Regions from separate parts of the Mus musculus genome. Here region 1 is reported to be linked to region 2. The links are microRNA targets in miRTarBase. Many come from high-throughput screens and were not tested one by one. Region 2 holds a microRNA gene; the other region holds the end of a gene's coding sequence.
Evidence for each region. The annotated mature microRNA mmu-miR-3102-5p reads GUGAGUGGCCAGGGUGGGGCUG and lies in region 2 at 3,138-3,159, shown strand. An mRNA with a match to its seed (bases 2 to 7 or 8) in the 3' UTR can be bound and repressed. Matches are read on the target gene's strand: a 7mer-m8 pairs with bases 2 to 8, a 7mer-A1 pairs with bases 2 to 7 and ends in A, and an 8mer does both.

Region 1 (5,074 bases), not on the chromosome of region 2:
GAGAGAGAGAAAGGAAGGAAGGAAGGAAGCAAGGAAGAAAGAAAGAGAGAAAGAAAATGCAGAATTCTTACCATGAGAGAGGGACATGGCTTGAAGCTATATTTCATGCAAGAAAATCAAAAGCAAACCCCTTAAACCTACTTTATGATTAGCTTATTTTAGTTACTATTCAGAATTTGTTGATGAATCCATAGAAATCCATAGATCCACCTATGATCTATGATAGAGAGTTGACACCACCAAAAAATTCGGATGCCTAAACATAAATTTTCTATCTTTAATTTTATTTCTCCATGACCCCAACCTCTTTAAAGCAACCCTGATTAATAAACAGAGCTGTGAATTAGTTTTTGGTTTAATGTAAAACAGATGTTGTTAAACCACTTGGGTTGGGATCTTTTAATATTAAGTACTAATTCCCAAACAGGCCAAGCGCTTTTAGTGGGAGGTCTAGACGGACTGGCGTCAAAAGGGTTTTAGTAAACTTGCTGCCTAAATTAAGACCACCACTGTATACCAGATTGCTCTTTGCAGGAGAGTCCCTGATAGAGCACGGATAACCTTGCTGGATAACCTCTCTAACTTCTGAAAGTGCACATGCAGATTATTAATGCCCCCCTTTGTTTTCTCTTTCTTCCTCCCGCAGAGGAGATTGAAGTGGATGTGGAAAGCACAGAGTTCTCCCATGGAGAAGCAGACAGTGTCAGTACCACCAGCATCAGTGACCTTGACGACCACAGCAGCCTGCAGAGTGTCGGGAGTGACGAGGGTTATTCCAGTGCCAGTGTCAAACTCTCCTTCGCGTCCTAGGACCCAGCATGGCCTAACAGTGCAGGGCGGAGCGCTCACTGGGCCGAGTCAACACCGGCTCTCAAATTGGGTTCATGATGCAGTCTCCTCTTTAAAACTAAAAACTATACTTGAACAAAACGGTCAGAAGACCTGTATTTAAGCAAATACTTAACGAAAAGTGGGGTAGAGCCTCCCTGGTAGAACAAATATTCCTATATTTGGAAAGAGTACAGTTTCTAACGGCAGCAGAAACCATGCGCGTGATTATCTTGAGTTGACCAGGTTGACTTGAGAGACAATGGAGACTTCACTCTCCTGTTGCAGTTTGCTCACTCTGTGGTGGTGAGCAGACATTTAAGGATAGGGTTATGAACCCTTCCCGAGCTTCTTGGCCCTAGAAACAAAATCACACTTAGAGTAAGGAAAAGGCAGGATAATCAGGCATTAATCTCAGATAGCTGAAGAGCTATTAAAACTCAGCCTCTGTTTATCATGAAGCCTGTGGATGATCAGTTCTTTTAAACAAAATGAATTTTTAAAAAGCTCATATCGTGCTCTACAAAAGGAGAGACTCCATGAAGCCTTTTGAAAGAGGCCCTGACGCAGCCCGGCTTTCTGTTGGATTCCATGCTAAGCCAGCTAACCTTACCTGCATTGTTAGCTCTAGAGCAGCCGACCACCCGCTCGCCACCCTTCGGCCACGTAGGGGCAGCCCATGCATGACGGCCTGAATCACAGGAGGAAAAGCTCTGTGTGCCTCGGTGTCTGCGCGGAGCTGAGGAGGTGCGCACGCAGTATAGCAGCCAAGGTCTGAGCCACCGCAGCATTTTTATTTGAGATTTTGATAACTGTTTGTATGTGTTGAAAACCAAAATGACATCTTTTTAAAGCTTGTCCATAAGTAAAAACATAGATGTCTTTTATAGTGGAATAAACCACGTGGGGAAATCATCTATTTTGATGCAGCATTTGATAATGATAAACACCTCACGCCTCACTCTTCACAGTGCGCAGGACAGACAGACGGACGAGGTCTGGGCTGGGTAGACGGAGGTCAATGCTGTTTTTGTTTTCTTTAGGACCACTCCCTTTTACCAGCTTTAACCATCTGATATCCATAGTAGACATACTATCCTAGTTAACATAGTTACGTTCAGCACTTGTCTCATTTAATGTAAAGATTTTCTACAGGCAGTCTCCTCCCCCACAATCCCACTGTGCGGGTGCTATTGTTGCTCTTACAAATCCCTTCAGAAATGTTATCTTCTAAGTGGAACTTCTAGCCTGCACTCTGATGTCATGTGTTCCCTCTGTCTTTCAAACTCTCAGGTTTCCCTCTGGGCCACTGCTTTTCCCTGGGAAGCCTTGCTGGAGACCTTACCCCAAGCTGTTTGGACTTTGTATTCTTTAAATAATTTAACTACCCTTAATTACTTAAAAAAAAAAGCTTTATGATTTTCATAACTTATTGCTGATTTTAATGGGTTGTTAATTTCAGTCCTGTAGTTTTATTTTATGTTTAGATAGGGCTGGGCAAGGAAAAAGAAAATAAAAACAACCATATTTAGCAGTGCAGTCGAGTTGTGTGTTAATGTCAGAGCTATCTTCCGTGGATAGCACGTCTCCATACAAGAAACATACCGCCTTGGTCATGCATAAGGTCCCAGCACACACTACCCAGTGCTCTTTTTGTGCCTGCAAAAGCACTTCGCCGTTGCTTGGGCTGTGTCTGAATGAAAAGGTTCTTTGAAGTAGCTGTTTGTGAAACACTGCATGCCTCCAGACACTCGGCTGAAACCTGTTGCACTTGAGGTGCTGAGGACAGAATGCAGAAACCCTCTGGTTTCCCTTGCAGTCACTCCCAGACAGGTAAGATGTGTGTGTGTATTGGCTGTCTTTGAGCTTTCTCTTAAAGTTTGTCCTTACCATGGAAAGTAAATGGAAGCCATTGAGTGGCTGCATTATTCTCCTTTTTTTTTTTTTTTTTTTTTTTTAAGAGCAGGGTTGGGGGTGGGGTGGTCCCGAGACAGGGTTTCTTTCTAGCCCTAGCAGACCAGGCTGGCCTCAAACTCAGATCCACTTGTCTTTGCCTCTTAAATGCTGGGATTAAAGGTGTGCACCACCACCATCCAACTACAACTTCTTCTTGTGTTCCCATGGTGTTGACCCACATCATCTTGGCCCAGGACTGAAATTTGGAACATCATTCAGGCAACCTCTGTATGCGGCCATTTTGTGTTTATACAGGATGATGGGCTGCAAGCCGTCATTACAAACCTCCACATACATCACATCAAATATGCTGCTGGGGAAGGAGGACATGGGTGGATTTTGTGACTACATGTTAACTCTCTAGAAGACAGGTTGGCTTAAAGACTAGTTATGCAAGAAGTAAAAACCAGATTGAGGGATACCTGCTCAGTGCCCTCTGTGAAGGGAAAATTTCTTGAGTGCCCATATCTTTAGGTAACTGCCTTCCAAATGTATTTTGCTTTTATATTAGATATTAGAATAGCAGTATGAATTTCAGCTACCATTCCTATTGTACAGTTTAGCAGATATCTACTCTAGTTCAATACAACTCGACTGTAGTATTTCCCTGTGTTGACAGCTGATAACTACTTTCAAGCATCACAAAGATGTCCTCTTGGGAATCTCTTCTGCCACCATATGCAATGGAGCCTACCAGTTCTCACTGCCTCGTTAACCTTACTTAGGGTGTTCTAATGCCTGTATGTATATTCTTTAAAACTGGCTGGCCTCAAATTTAGAAAAATGTCTGCCTCTACCTATGTTCTTATATCTTCATACAAGGTACAGGTAATTCCCATACCTGTTTATATACCAAAGGAGCCTGACAAAGTTATTTTAATTCCGTTCTGGTTAGCAGAGGTAAGGACTGTAGAGAAAAAAAAAGGTTGTTCGTTTTTTCTAAGTCTTCATGACAGTTGTCTTTTGGATTACAAAAATGTTTAAAAGCTGAGAATTGAGGCAGAGCTCTTAACTGAGGGCCATAAAGTTTCTTGGCTCATATATCCTGAGGAATGACTGGGCCTAAAATATTCAATTTTCCCCCTTTTTCTTGAAAGCCACTATCTTTCCCTTTTACCATCCCACCTTTAAAAAATAAAAATCCCAAGATAAAATCTAATTAATAAAACTTTCCATTTACCCTCAGCCCCAACATGTGACAGACCCTGGGGCAAATGACCTATTTCTCCATGGAGCCTGTTTCCTCCTACAGTGTTAATTTACTGTCTCAGTCTTGAAATGTCACGGTTTGAACCAATACATGTAAATGACTTTCATGCCCTCAAAATGCTTAAAGAGAAAGCCAGAGGTAATCATGTGCTTATGTGCATGCACTTTGGGCATCATTCTTTAGGCACCATCTATAAGCCTGGGCCCCTCACTGGCCTGAACTTACCAAACAGACAAGGCTCATTAGCTGGCAAGCCCCAGGATCCTCCAGTCTAACTCCTTGGTACTGGGATTACAAACACACTCACCCATGCATGTTGGTTTTGTTTTTGTTTTTTACTTATGTATTTCTTTGCATGTGTGTCTGCATATGTATACCTGATGCCCACAGAGGCCAGAAAAAGGCATTCGATTATGTGGAACCAGTTACAGGCCATTTTGAACCACCGTGAGGATGCTGGGACTTCAATTCCAGTCTTCTGGAAGAACATCCAATGCTCCTAACAGCTGAACCATCTTCTCCACCTACTGGCTTAATTCTTCTTTATTAATCATTGATTTGAGATACAGTCTCATGGGCTGTCAGAACTCAGAAATCCATCTGCGTCCGCCTCCCAGAGGCAGATTAAAAATATGTGCCACCGTGTCTGGCTCTCTGGCTTTTTAAAAACAAACCAAGAAAAGAGTTTAAGGCTGAACTTGGGTCCCTATGCCTGCAAGGGAAATAGTTTACCACATGAACCATCTTTCCAGCCCTAACTATCCTCCCAGCCCCCGTTTTTTTAATGCATTCCATCACTATTTTCAAATTTTATTTGGACTATTTTACCAAAAAGCCCCATTTCTGAAATCCTGGTTCATACACATAAAACTTGAACTTGTATTTAGTTCAAATGGTCCACCTCAATCTCCAGATAGACTGCACTTGACCTGGCTTAGCTTTGTCTGAAGTACTTTTTTAAGGAAAGGCTACAGAAGATCAATTATGTCTTAGTGATCCCCTATTTTTTAAAACCTAACCCAAGGCTGAGTGCATTCTCCAGTGATAATGACCACTGTATAACTAATGTGCCTGGTTAAT
Region 2 (5,074 bases):
CCTTTTTTAATAACTGTGGTTCATACTGTCCGGCGCTTTTTGCATGCTGGGCATTATCCTGCATAGTATATATCCTAGGGCCCTGGCCTCTCATGTCACCTGCCACGCTCCTCCTCCTAGGAGCCACAGCATCCCGTGAGCCCCTCACAGTCCTTCCGTGGTAGCTCCGAATTCCAGAAGAGCCACAAAAGCAAAGTTTAAAACAAAAACAGAACAGAACAAAACAAAAAACAAAACAAACAAACAAAGCTGAGTGGTGGTGATACGTGTCTTTAATTCCAGCACTCTGGAGGCAGAGGCAGATGCATCTTTGTGAGTTCAAGGCCAGCCTGGTCTATAGGAGTTCTAAGACAGCAAGGGCTACACAGAGAAACTCTGTCTCAAGCAAACAAAACATTTCATTTTATTAAACTCCTGCAAACATAATGTACTGTTTCTTCCTAAATTGGCATTTATTTATATAAGTTTAATTATACTCAAAAAACTTTTAATTTACATTTTTTAATTCCCAAGAATTCTTAACGATGACTGATAAATCATAGCCAAACTCAAATTAAGTGTTACCTTAGAGCCATGTAGTTACAAAAGCAAAACTGTAGAGAATCCTTCCAGAAAATTCCATGCCAAAAAGAAGAAATGTTCCACATAGCAAATTTAAAAAGTCCTCTCCCCTTTGGGCCGTAAGCTTGTTTAAATGTGCTCCTTATGACGCAGAGTGGGGTCTTAACCTATGTACGTAGGCCTTAGTTTGTCCTTGCTCCTTGGAAACTGGTGCCACCAGGTAGGATTAAGTGCTGTTGCCTTCACTCTCTGTCTGGACCTGGCTGCTGTCTGTGGGCTGACAGGGAGCTCCACAAGGCAGGCCCTCCCTCATCGGCTCAGGTTCAGCCCTGCCATGTCCAGAGACAGGAACATTTGGCACCTTAGAGAATCAGGGACTCCAAGATCTGTATCTTAGCCTGTCCTTGGTGCAGCTGAAACTGGAACCCAGTTGTCCTCTCTTGTGGAAAAGCCCTCTCCTCCGCCCCCCACCAGCACCTACCATCAGCCAACCAGCAGGATTAGCCACCACTGTGAACCCTGTCCTGAGCCAGGCTTCATTCTGCCAGGAGAGAGCCCCTAAGTCAGGCAGCAGGCACATTCCATAAAAGCAGACTGCAGCTCAGTGCCAAGGGTGGGTCTATTGTGCTGGGAGGGATGTTCCTCATGGAGGAACGAACTGCACAGGCAGAGTCCCAGAAGCTACAATAATGTGTTCACTCCTACTACCAGGAAGGTCTGAGGCCTGCCTTGCTGGTTTAATGGGATTGGAGACCTGGTGATAGATTGTCTGGAAGTGAAAACAAATAACAACAAACAAATAAACAACAACAACAGCCGCAGCAACATTAAAAGAAAAACAAAAAACAACCCAGGTCTTGTCTCAGCACACATCTAGGCACATGTATTTGTATGTATGTATACATATATGTGTATATATATATACATATATATACATACACACCTGCTCATTCAGTCACGTTCATGCATGCAACATGTATGAATTTTGAGAAAGACAGAGAAGACCTGCCTGACCATTTCAAGTTAAATAGACAGAAGCCAGGACAGGGTGAAGTGGGTGAGGGACACCTGAGCCTGCCTAACCTGCTTCCTCACCCACAGTTTTCCAAAGACGTCTTGGTGAACATCTATTCGGCCTATATTGATAACTTCCTCAATGCAAAGGATGCTGTGCGTGTAGCTAAGGAGGCCAGGCCAGCCTTTCTCAAGTTCTTGGAGGTATGTGGACTGGGGTAGGGGTGAAGCTAACATGTCAGGCTAGCTCTGGGCATCCCAGGAGCTCTTGACCAAAAACATTGTGGTGCTTGCAAGTGTGTCAGCCTCTGCCTTTGGGCTCACCTGGAGGGACTTGGCTAGGAGCGTGTCTCTTCCTGCCGTGTCAGTCCTCATGTGAGAACTCCCTCCACTCTGCCTTCGGTTTCAGCAAAGCATGCGTGAGAACAAGGAAAAGCAGGCGCTGTCCGACCTCATGATCAAGCCTGTGCAGAGAATCCCACGCTATGAGCTTCTGGTGAAGGTAACCACGGGCCTGGCTGGACAGGGAGGCCCTGGGGGTCGGGGGGAGGAGTATGTCTGTTCTCAGACTCCAGGCAGGAAAGAAAGTCCTCCTTGATGCCTATACCATGGTCTCTCATGCTCCAGCAGTCAGTTCAATACCTCAGGGCAGCTAAACAGGTCTCCATTCCCGCCCCAGGACCTTCTGAAGCACACACCGGAAGACCATCCAGACCACCCACTGCTGCTCGATGCTCAGCGCAACATCAAGCAGGTGGCTGAGCGCATCAACAAGGGTGTGCGGAGCGCTGAGGAGGCCGAGCGGCATGCCCGCGTGCTTCAGGAGATCGAAGCCCACATCGAGGGCATGGAGGATGTACGTGCCCCACCCTGCCGTGCCCCAACTTGTCCCTGTCTGTGTCTTCATCTGTCACCCGGATTGTGGCCATCCACGTCCAGGTCTGTGGTCAGCTTGCTTCTGTGACCACAGTGCCCCACCCTTCTGTGTCCTCCTCCTCCTCCTCCTCTGTCTGACCTTGTGTCCCTGTCTGGCAGCCCAGTGATGCAAGCGAGGACAGGATGTCGCTCTGGCTGACCTCGTTCATAGAGTGGTCAACCGATCACTGCAGGGTTAATAGACTAATAACTAGTTCTCTCCTACCCACCAGCTCCAGGCCCCCCTGCGGCGGTTCCTGAGGCAGGAGATGGTTATTGAAGTGGTAAGGGTTCTCCCATTGGCTGTTCCCCCAAGTACCTTCAACCCACCCAAGTTCACTCTCTGGCGCCTGCTGCCCTCTGGTTCCTGCTCCCCAAGCACCACACAATGGGAGCCCTGCATGAATCCCGATTCCACATAAGTGGGGGAGAGCCCTCACCCCTCCCTTGGATTTGCTGTTCCTGGGGAACTAGGGTAATGTAGGTCGGCCTCTAGACTGTGCACACTGAGCCTGAATGCCACTTTGGACCCTACAGAAGGCAATTGGAGGCAAGAAGGACCGATCCCTCTTCCTGTTCACAGACCTCATTGTCTGTACCACCCTGAAACGAAAGTCGGGCTCGCTGAGGCGCAGCTCCATGAGCCTGTGAGTGGCCAGGGTGGGGCTGGGTGGTGCAGGCAGGAGAGCCATTGATCTATTGTGGGCTCTACTCCCTGCCCCAGCCAGAGCACCCCATTGGCTACCCACAGGTACACAGCAGCCAGCGTCATTGATACAGCCAGCAAATACAAGATGCTGTGGAAGCTGCCACTGGAAGACACAGACATCATCAAGGGTGAGGCTGGCTGAGTCTGTCAGGGGTTCTGCTGGTGGCTTTCCCCTGAGTCTGCCTGCCTGTCTGTTGGTTTGTCTGCTCTTGTGACTCATCTTTCATCCCATATGAGAGATTGGTTTTGAAGAACCGGGTTAGTTTCCATGCAAATCATCCTCTTAGTGCCCTAGCAAGTTCTCCAAGAGTTGGCCGTTCTGTGCCCTGTGACTCTAAACCAGACCTCTCCTCCCGGGCCTGTTTTTTTTTTCTGAGAGCTACCTGTTGACCTTGTTTCTGAGAGCTTGGGTCTGGAAGTGCTCCCATTTGCCAGACCAATCCCGTGCTCAGCTGAAGGCTGTGCGCTAAGGGAAGTGTGTCTGTCCAAGCTTGACCTTGTTTGATGTGTTCATGGCTTTCCTCTGTCCTCGCCAGGGGCGTCTCAAGCCACCAATCGGGAGACCATCCAAAAAGCCATCAGCCGCCTGGATGAGGACCTGGCCACCCTGGGCCAAATGAGCAAGCTCTCCGAGAGCCTCGGCTTCCCCCACCAGGTCTGTGCCCTGAGCTAAGGCAGTGTTGGCTGGGACTTCCCCTGACCTTGCCTGAGGGACAGACAGTCTTGGCTTTTGCCTGAGGGAGCAGTTGGTCCTGTCACTTATCTGAAGGGGAAAATTATAGTCTTGCTCCCACTTAAGGGAAGTGACAGGTCCGGGGTCTGAGGGAGGAGACCTCTGAGGGGGAGAAAGGCCCATCCCTGTCTGTGGCAGGAGGAGGCTGCCTTCCACGGTCCCCTCGGTGCAGGTGCCCATGTGGTGACACCTTGGCCTGAGGCCTGGGTTCTTTTCCCACAGAGTCTAGACGATGCACTGAGGGATCTCTCGGCCGCCATGCACCGGGACCTGTCAGAAAAGCAGGCGCTATGCTGCTCCCTGGCCTTCCCGCCCACCAAGCTGGAGCTGTGCGCCACCCGGCCCGAGGGCACCGACTCCTACATCTTTGAGTTTCCCCACCCGGATGCCCGCCTGGGCTTTGAGCAGGCCTTTGATGAGGCCAAGAGGAAGCTGGGTGAGCCAGAGTTCATGTTGGTGTCTTCTCTCACAGTCCCTGTGCAGTCCTGACTGTAGAAGCCAGGACTCTCTGAACTGCCCTCCTGTCCTCCAGCGGCCGATAGGGAAGGTGGCCTGAGACTTCCACAGTGAAGCAGCAGGCTGGACATTTGCTCTGGCTCCCAGCTTCTTCCTGGGGGGGAAGGAACTCCTGGACAGAGTCGTTTGGGGACAGGGACCCCAGCATACGCCTGAACCACCAAGACCTTCCTCTTCCTCAGTATAGACTCAGCTAAGTCCTGGAAAGTTATTATTAAGTCTACAGCTTAGAGATCCAGGGCTACTCATTGTACAGAAAGGAAAACTGAGGCCAGACACAAACGGAGTAATCCATGACCTCTCATTCTAGCTGAGCTGGTACCCGGCCCTCCCTAGGGAGACTGGAATGGGGAGGGACCAGAGCCACTGTAAGGTGGGTGCTAAGCAGGGGTTCTCTCCTTTTGCCCTGTCTCCTCTACTACAGCATCCAGTAAAAGCTGTCTAGACCCTGAGTTCCTGAAGGCCATCCCTATCATGAAGACTCGCAGTGGCATGCAGGTGTGTGTGTGCGTGTGGGCCATGTAGACACGTGTCTACTCAAAGCTACATACATGTGTATGAGGTTTTGTGCTGTGTACCATCTCACATATGTATTTTAAACATTGTGATTATTCCCCGTGTTTGAG

Region 1: the mRNA of Mxi1 is a reported target of mmu-miR-3102-5p. The part of its 3' UTR that is shown has no 7-base or 8-base seed match.

Annotation. Positions count from the first base shown.
Region 1 is chr19:53,370,927-53,376,000 of GRCm38, forward strand. Mxi1 (MAX interactor 1, dimerization protein) reads left to right here. Exons shown (of 6, transcript NM_001008542.3): 6 at 647-2,367. The coding sequence ends at 810. Among named protein-coding and RNA genes, the nearest start is that of Smndc1, 17 kb to the right of the region's middle.
Region 2 is chr7:100,880,473-100,885,546 of GRCm38, reverse strand. It overlaps Mir3102 (microRNA 3102), which reads left to right and starts at 3,138; the gene lies at 3,138-3,241. Arhgef17 (Rho guanine nucleotide exchange factor (GEF) 17) reads left to right here. Exons shown (of 21, transcript NM_001081116.1): 4 at 1,663-1,779; 5 at 1,985-2,077; 6 at 2,255-2,431; 7 at 2,724-2,774; 8 at 3,028-3,137; 9 at 3,242-3,327; 10 at 3,736-3,854; 11 at 4,155-4,368; 12 at 4,873-4,946.